Linked DNA regions of Cricetulus griseus. Each later gene encodes a partner of the first gene's protein in a complex. Links are inferred from orthologs where the notes say so. Each region holds a gene or a part of one and is shown in the gene's direction. Other genes may lie near its edges.

Region 1 (3,815 bases):
GGGTGCATCTCCTTGGCTTGGACCTGGAATCCACAAGCAGGCTAGTCTGTTTCTTTAAATGTTGAAGACTTTCATGCTAGTATGTTTGCTTCCTTGCTTTCACTTCCCAGTGGTACATGATCCTCTGAGTTAAACCACGTATATCTCTACTTGTAATTAAACTTAAGGTATATATGACTAAATTCAACTAGAAAAATACTCATGATTAAAATATTTTAAAACTGGCTATACCAACAGAATGGTAAAATGTAATTCTATAGATTCGTGGTCCATGTCCATGAATCTGTATCATTTTTGAATATAAATGAACATGCATGTATGTCTGCGCATCTGAAATGCCTGCTATGTAGCAGGTGATCCCTAAGTGATAACAGTGCTGTTACTTTATTTCAGTTTTCACTCACCATGTAAAATCGGCAACTTTTTAAAAATGTGTAGCAATATTCCCATTAAAGTGCTTTAAATGCATAGTTTTGCAATCTGGTTGGATAACCTTAGCCGTTATCAGTGTTCTCATGTGGACCACTCCATTTTTATGTTGCTTCCCTTTGATATCTCTCCGGGATGTATTTAAGTATCGAGCTGTGGCTTTCCAACTCCAGCATGCATCAGAATCACCTGGGGGTGGCACATTAAAAGGCATTTTGCTGGTTCCTCTTCTGTGGGTTCCTGATGCCTAGATGTGAGGTGCTGCTAGGAATCTGCACTCCTGCAGCCCCCCAGCTGCACCTGCTGCTGTGTGGACCCACCCTGAGCACCTGGTCCAGGAGGCAGTGTGGCTGATGCCATGTTGTATGGTTTTTATGAAATATTTTTAGAGACCCTTGCTTTGCCTACATGCCATTGTACTTATGGCTTAGAAAGTCTCTTAGGTTTCTTCATGGAATGAGTGTATTTCTGTTGTTCTTTCTTCAAGAACGACTAACTATACATGTTTACCCTCTAGGGGGAAGGCATAAGTTTGGAATGTATTTTACAGGATAATTTTATGTTTTATAATTTACTTCTAAGAACTCCATGCTATCAGGAAGGTGTGAGGGTTTAAAACACTAACAAGAATTTTATGTTCTCTACTTCTTTTCAAGGGTCTTTTTGATAGACTAGCACCAAGTAAAATTTAGCACTCATCATTCACACTCAGACAACTTCACTCAGAATGTCACCAACATAACAGTTTCACCTCCTTTTAAAGCATAGCTTACATCTTTGGAGATATGATGGTCTAGAAGGGTTATTCTTTCAAAAGAGAAAAGGCAATCAGAAATCTTTGTCCATGAGATTACACTGAAATGTTCTTTCATTTAGTGCTTCTGAGTGCTTGTCTGTGCAAGGTATTATGGCAAAAGCCAGTGCCAAAGTCATTTGTCTTTATCACATACGAGGGGATTTTAGTAGATTGTAACTTAATATGGACCTAATTGTGTGACAAAGCTATGGATCACCTTAATGCAATTGTAGGCTTCATTAACAGGATTAGTAGTATGCGCATCTGGGCACTGCTGCTGCTATCTTGTTTCACTAGACCCAGTTTGGAGTGTAAGCTGTTAACTGGCATTGAGGGAGGTGGAGCCTGCCATTAAGTCTGTGCTATATTTGCATATCCTGATTGTAGGAAGGTGGTGTGATGCACTGGGTGGAGAGACTTGTATGTGTTGGTAGTTAGCCTCTATAGGGTTAAGAAACCAGGGAATCTCAACACCTTGTCCACTACAGTGTCCTCTGTGCTTAACATGGGGCCTAACTCACTCATATTCAGTAAATAAGTGGGTCAAAAACATGGCTGGATGATTGTGTGCATGTGCCCGTGTGCACGGAGAGTAGAGATCTAACTCAGCTGTGGTTCTCAGGAGCACTGTCTACCTTGGTATTTGACTGTCCTCTTCCTGGGACCTAGGACTCACTGGTGGGCTAGGCTGGCCAGCCAGCGGGCTCCAGGATTCCAAGTGTGGGATTCCTGGAGAGGATGCTTGGGTCCTCTTGCCGTGTTCCAAGCTCTTTACTTACTGAGGTCTGCTGGAGGTCCCAGGGATGGGACTTTTTGGTGAGAAGTTTTCAGTTTTACCTGAGGACTTTGTTAAACTTGGACACTTTGTCAGCTGAATCAGTAACTTCTCATTTTGGAATTCTGTTGTTTTAAATGTGTGGGTCGAGGCTGTGTATGGTTTTTGGTAGACTATGGGCCAAGATGATTTCAGCTTTTGAATAATGACTGTATGTTTCTTTATATTTTCAGTTATTTAATTTAACATAAAGTAATGTCAACCAACAAAGTAATTTTCTAACTTGATTATGAAATAATCTAAAATAATTATAGTACTTAAAATAATTAAAATTAAAATATTATTACCTTTACTTATCTTTTCAGCCTTAAGCAAGCCAGGGACCTAGAACGAGAGAGGGCTGCAGCCAATGAGCAGCTCACCAGAGCTATCCTTCGGGAAAGGATATCCAGTGAGGAGGAGCGCTCCAAGGCAAAGCATCTGGTAAGTGCCCCCCTCCCCCCCCCTTTAACGCTAGCCTTGCCCTCCAGGACAGCCATGAGGTCAGCAAAGCAAAGCACTTAGTGCCACCTGTTAGTGTTGGTAACAGTAACATTTCCTTGGTCAGGCAGGACTTTGAGTTGCATGTATTACAGGTGGCTGCTAGAAGACTGGCCTCCAGGATGTTAAGGGAGGTAACTAAAGAAGTGTTGAAGTCAGGACCAACACACAGTCACATGCCCAGGTTCCACCTGGGGAGATGCTGCTTGTTTGTTTTCCACCCATGGCTCTGTTGTCTCCATAGCACTGGGGCCAGCAGCCTGGCCTCTTTCTTTTCCTGGGCAGCCTCCAGATGCCCAACTGAGCAACTTCCAGAATATCAGTCACTCTCTAGACCTTAGAAAGGGGGAAAGTCAGCAAGGGTCTTGGAGAATGAACTTTTAAAAGAGAACCAGAAGTTTCTTCAGTAAAATACTTTTTAATTTTAAAGACTGAATATGTATTTTTTTTCTGAATAAGTACTTTAAAATAAAAGATTAACAAAGTTTGAAAGTCACTATATCTTTTTCTGGCATGATCATGGTTCACACAGGGGTGTGTTTCACTCTGTAATGTTTTTCCGCAAGATCTCTTATTTATCATTTAGAGTTTGCATAAATGCTATATGTATGTAAATATATCTGTAGATCACAGAACATTTTTCTGAAATGTAGTTTCTCATGATGCATAGTATCTTCTGTATCCCTACCACTTATTAAGCAGATTTTCCACTGTCAGATAAAACTGGAGCTTTTCTGGTTCAAGCCTCTAGCCTGGACTGCTCAGTCTCTACTTCCTCCTAGAAATGCAGATGAAACACTGAGGGCCCTTGGTACTCACTGGAACACATAGAGAAGCGAGCCAGTGAGGCTGAACACAAGGCCTTACATGGAGGATTTGAATGTCACAATTCTTACCGAGCAAGTATCTGCTCTCTTCCTAGTGTCTGTCTGACTGTCTGTCTGTCTGTCTGTCTGTCTGTCTGTCTGTCTGTCTGTTTCTGCTTTGCCGTTTGCCCACACAATTGTTAATGTTAGGATGATTGGCATTTTGTTCTTTCACTTTCTTTTTAAATGACTGACGTTCCTACTTATCCACGGTGATGGGGTACAGGGTGATAAATTAGTCCATGTATACAGTGTGTCTGATCAAATTAGCAGAGTAGCATTTGGTCCTTGAGTCATTTTGGATTTTTTTGTGTGTGCAAAGCTTAGAATTCTCTTCTAGTTCTGTATGAATAAGTAAATTGCTAATAATTGCTAAGTTTTTTCCTCATTTTACCTCTTAGCCCTTTCT
Region 2 (4,413 bases), on another chromosome or scaffold:
CACTCACAGGCACTGCTAATATTGGGAGGTTTGTTGCCTACACTGTACTTGAAAGAAATGCTAAAGTTCAGTTAGAGTTTAGCGAGGGTGAAGTTGTCATTTCCGTCTTTCCCCAGTTCACATACTCCCTGCGTTAAGAGCTCCCGCTGTAATTTATCACTATGCTTCACACTTTTAAGATATTACCTTACTGATGCAGTGCCTTCAGAATCTATTCAGTATTTCTCCTTAGGGATTGGAGATGGGGATGGCTTGGAACGTACAGTTCTGTTGAGAAGGAAAGAGCTGCCCTTAACATTTGGGAGTTGGTCTGGCTGAACCTTACCGTTTTCCCTTCCCTGAAGGTTGCTAACACCTACAAGTTCTGCTTAAAAAGAAAAAACCTTAACCACAAGTCACTAAGCCAAAGGTTAAATACTATGACAAACTTAACATTTTTTTACTGAAATGCTCCAGTTTGCCCTAGATGGGCATTTTTGTTGCTTTTTCTCGCAGCAAACTAAAAAAACCCCACACACCTAATTTAAGGACAGGTGTGTTTCTAGGATAAGAGGACAGTGACCTTTTACCGAACAAATCTCCAGATCTTCAGGATGCCTATGTGGCTTCCATCTTCTGTTGAATTAGGACAAGAAATACAGGACGAAATACGAAATACACCGTCTCTACGGGACGCGCTAGCGTTTGCCCAAGCTAGCGCAGAGATTTCAAAGGCAGACTACCTTGAATTGGATCCTAGCTTTAGATTTTCCGCAGTTTTGGACACTAGGCAATGAGAACCATGCCCATCCACTTGTGTCGGAGCAATAAAATTACGCATTTAAACCAGTGTTAAAGCTTGCTTTTTTTCTGGCGAATAGTTAAATACTGTCATTTTACTTCTACAATTAATAAATGGGACAAATATTTGATTCTCAGATTTACGCTTTAGTACTTTTCTTAAAAAAAAGGACAGTTTTCGCGACTAAATGACGCGGTGCATTTACTATTACATAAAATTTAAGCAACATTCAGCATACGGTAAATTCTTTAAGGAAAAAACCTTTTGTGAGGTAAACCGAAGCCCCACGATCGATCGCGGCTTCTCCCTAAGAGGCTGGTGCGGCCACCCCAGGACCGTCGGGCGCCACCGCCTGGCTACCTCGGCTTACAGGATTCCCATCCGCACAGCTAGGCGCCCAGTGGTGGAGGCGAAGCCGGTTCTCCGCGCAGCAGGGTGCCAAGGAGCCTCCCCCTTCTTACCACAACTTGCCGCCCACACGGAGCTGCCGCCTTTTGCCGCCTAGCAACAGCCGGCGAGGAAACAGGGCCAACAAGAAGGCGGGGCTTGGGTTCATCAGGCTCCCGCGCGCGGGCCCCTCTCCGTTGCTAAGCAACGCAATGCGCCACCTAGCGGTTGCCTTGAGCTTTTGGCGGGTTGAGTTGGGCGGGGGAGCATCACCATCTCGTGCACCACAACCTGCTCGCGGTCAAGGGAATTAGGATCTAAGCCGGCCACCGTAGTCGCTTTTCTCAGTGGGCGGGGCCAAGGGAGGGGTGACCCTGCCGGAGCCACGGCTGCCAGCGACATGTTCAAGGTGAGAGCTTGGAGCCGGGTCACAGTTGTCATCGCCCCCTCTCAGATGCCGGGGTCCCTTCCCACACTCCCGTGGGCCTTCTTTGAGGATCAGACTCGGGTGTCCCCAAGGCTTTGCCCACCTCCGGGCTGGCTAAGTCCTGTCACAGCGATTCATTCACTGCTTGGTACCAGCACCTGTGAGACTGAGGCATGGAACCCTAGATGGGTGGGATCGGCCCTCGAGTAGTTCTCAGGGGAATGAAACACTTTGAAAACTTAAGACGCAGCTATAGTACCCATTTCCTCGGCTAATGCCCTTTTGGGGTAGTAGGTAGGATGAGGCCAGGTCCCGGCACTGCAGCGTTCGTGGCTTTGGTTGCTTGGCAGGATCAGGTTTCCGAACCGCACTTGTGGGTGGGGGGAGGGTCAGCTTCGGAGGATGTCGGGGAGGTTGGTGAGGGAGAGGCTGCTTTGAGGAAAGCTGGAACTTCCTCTCTGGTGAGCGTTAGTGTGGAAAAGTCGACTCTTATCCTTATCCCCTCCCTTACGGGTTTTTTCATTTGAACTCCTGTCCTCCGTAAGATAGACATTTACAGTGAAGACTTCGAAAAACCTAAATTTTATCATAAAGTTATTCTTTCTTTTTTTATTTTTTTTTTCGAGACAGGGTTTCTCTGTGGCTTTGGAGGTTGTCCTGGAACTAGCTCTTGTAGACCAGGCTGGTTCTCGAACTCACAGAGATCCGCCTGCCTCTGCCTCCCGAGTGCTGGGATTAAAGGCATGCGCCACCAACGCCCGGCCAAAGTTATTCTTTCTTAAAAGTCAGTTATATTTTGTCATTCAAAAAATTACAGGCTGCACATGCCTTTAACCCCAGCACTTAGGAGGTGGAGGCAGGTGAGTTCGGGCCAGCCTGGTTTACATAGCGATTTCCAGGCCTACATAAAGAGACCCTTTCCAAAACAAAACAAAACAAACCCCCCAAAACCCCACACGCATCCAGAAATCTATAAAATCAACTCTCCAAGAAACATAATATTTACAGAATAGTGCTAATAAAATCTCAAAATTCTGCTACCCATTTAAGAGTTTCCTGCAGCTGCAGTGTTTGGGGTGCATTAATAACGGCTGCCAAATCAGATCATGGTTTCTGCCTTCCATTGCTGCCGGTTTCTAGCTATGTGATAATGGGCATGTCACTTAACTGCTCTGTGACTTTTTTTCTATTGGTGAAATTAGGGTAACAAAAATCTCAATTGTAAAATACTGAGGAGAATTATCTCACTAAACCCAGAGGAAGGATGGACACTGAACTCATTGATTTGTTGGCTCATTGTCATCAAAGACCTGGCTCTTCTGGGTTTACTATGGTATTGTTGGTTTTCCTTACAGTTACAAGATGAGTGGCAGTAACATTACTTTGCCATTCACTAGGAGAAGAGGAGAGGATAAAACTCCCATGCTTGGATTATGTTTTTCCTTCAGGTCTGATTGAACCAACGTGGGTCAGGTGTCTGTTCCTAGCCCAATAGCAGTTATCAGGGGAATATTGGGCTCTGATTAGCTTCAGTCAAACAGATTCACTTTGCTTACCATATGGAAAAGGAATGGTTTCATGAGCACAGTGGGGTTCTTTAGGAAGGAAGAGGTATAATGGAAACTGAATCTGCAACCAGCAATGCTCATGTCAGGTATATTCATATAAGTCTGTGAACATGTTCATTGACTTGGACTCTTTGAAAAATCTTTCACAATCTTCATACATGTAAGTTTATTGATAGAAATGAAAGATTAGCACAGATTGATGACTCAGACAAGTTTTTTTTTTAACGGGGGGGGGGGGGAGAAAGAGAGAAGGAAAAGGATGTGATTGTAGAACAGTGGTTCTCAACTGACTGATACCACCCCTTTGGGTATGTTTTGGAAATTGCAGGGGGGTTCTTTGTGTCTTTAGATGTGTTAAACATTTTCTTTTTTTTCCGGGACAGGGTTTCTCTGTGGCTTTGAAGGCTGTCCTGGAACTAGCTCTTGTAGACCAGGCTGGTCTCGAACTTACAGAGATCTGCCTACCTCTGCCTCCCGAGTGCTGGGATTAAAGGCATGCGCCACCAACGCCCGGCTGAACATTTTTTTTTAGTTTTAATTCTTCTGTGTATTAGTGTTTTGCCTGCATGTATGTCTGGTGTCCACAGAGGCCAGAAGAGGGCATATAATCCCTTGGAACTGGAGTTACAGATGGTTGTCAGATGTCCTTTGGGTTCTGGGAATGGAACCTGGGTCCACTTCTCTCAGTGCTGGGCCCCCATCTGGTACAGACCCATGCAGGCCCTGTGCAAGATGCTACAGTCTCTGTGAGTTCATATGTGTGTCCGTTATGCTGTGTTTAGAAAGCCTTGTTTCCTTGGTGTCCTTTGTCCTCTTTGGCTGTAACAATATTTCCTCCTCCTCTTCCACAGGGTTCCCTGAGCCCTGAGGGGAGGGATTTGAGGGAGATGTCCCATTTAAGACTGAGTGTTCCAAGGTCTGTCACTCTCTGAATATTGTCCCATTTTATGGTGTATGTGCTTGGCTGAGGAGCCAATGGGGCAAAGCTACCATCTGTGGGATTATGACTGACCGCTTCTAAGTCAGAATCCTGACTGCTGGAATGATATGGCAGCGCCAAAGGAGCCTCGGTTGGTCCCAGATAGCCGGCTCCCCATCCCTGCTGGGAGCTGGACCAGGGACTGGTGCGGAGAGCCATTTGTCCTGGGAAATGGGGTATGACTGGAAAGGGGGCCACCCTCTCGCCCATCAAGCTGAACGCACGTTCGTGTGTTCTCATCTGTTGTAGGAGGAATCATCTGTGATGTTGG

The links.
Region 2: Chchd3 (region 1) and Apoo share a complex: the UniProt entries of both Homo sapiens proteins name them as parts of the mitochondrial contact site and cristae organizing system (MICOS) complex. The link is inferred for Cricetulus griseus from reciprocal best matches to the Homo sapiens genes CHCHD3 and APOO.

What each region holds. Positions count from the first base shown.
Region 1 is NW_023276806.1:194,963,480-194,967,294, forward strand, and holds part of Chchd3 (MICOS complex subunit MIC19), read left to right. Parts: intron 1-2,365; coding exon 2,366-2,483; intron 2,484-3,815. UniProt on the Homo sapiens protein: Component of the MICOS complex, a large protein complex of the mitochondrial inner membrane that plays crucial roles in the maintenance of crista junctions, inner membrane architecture, and formation of contact sites to the outer membrane.
Region 2 is NC_048604.1:75,617,979-75,622,391, reverse strand, and holds the start of Apoo (MICOS complex subunit MIC26), read left to right. Parts: upstream 1-1,583; 5' UTR 1,584-1,622; coding exon 1,623-1,766; intron 1,767-4,413. UniProt on the Homo sapiens protein: Component of the MICOS complex, a large protein complex of the mitochondrial inner membrane that plays crucial roles in the maintenance of crista junctions, inner membrane architecture, and formation of contact sites to the outer membrane.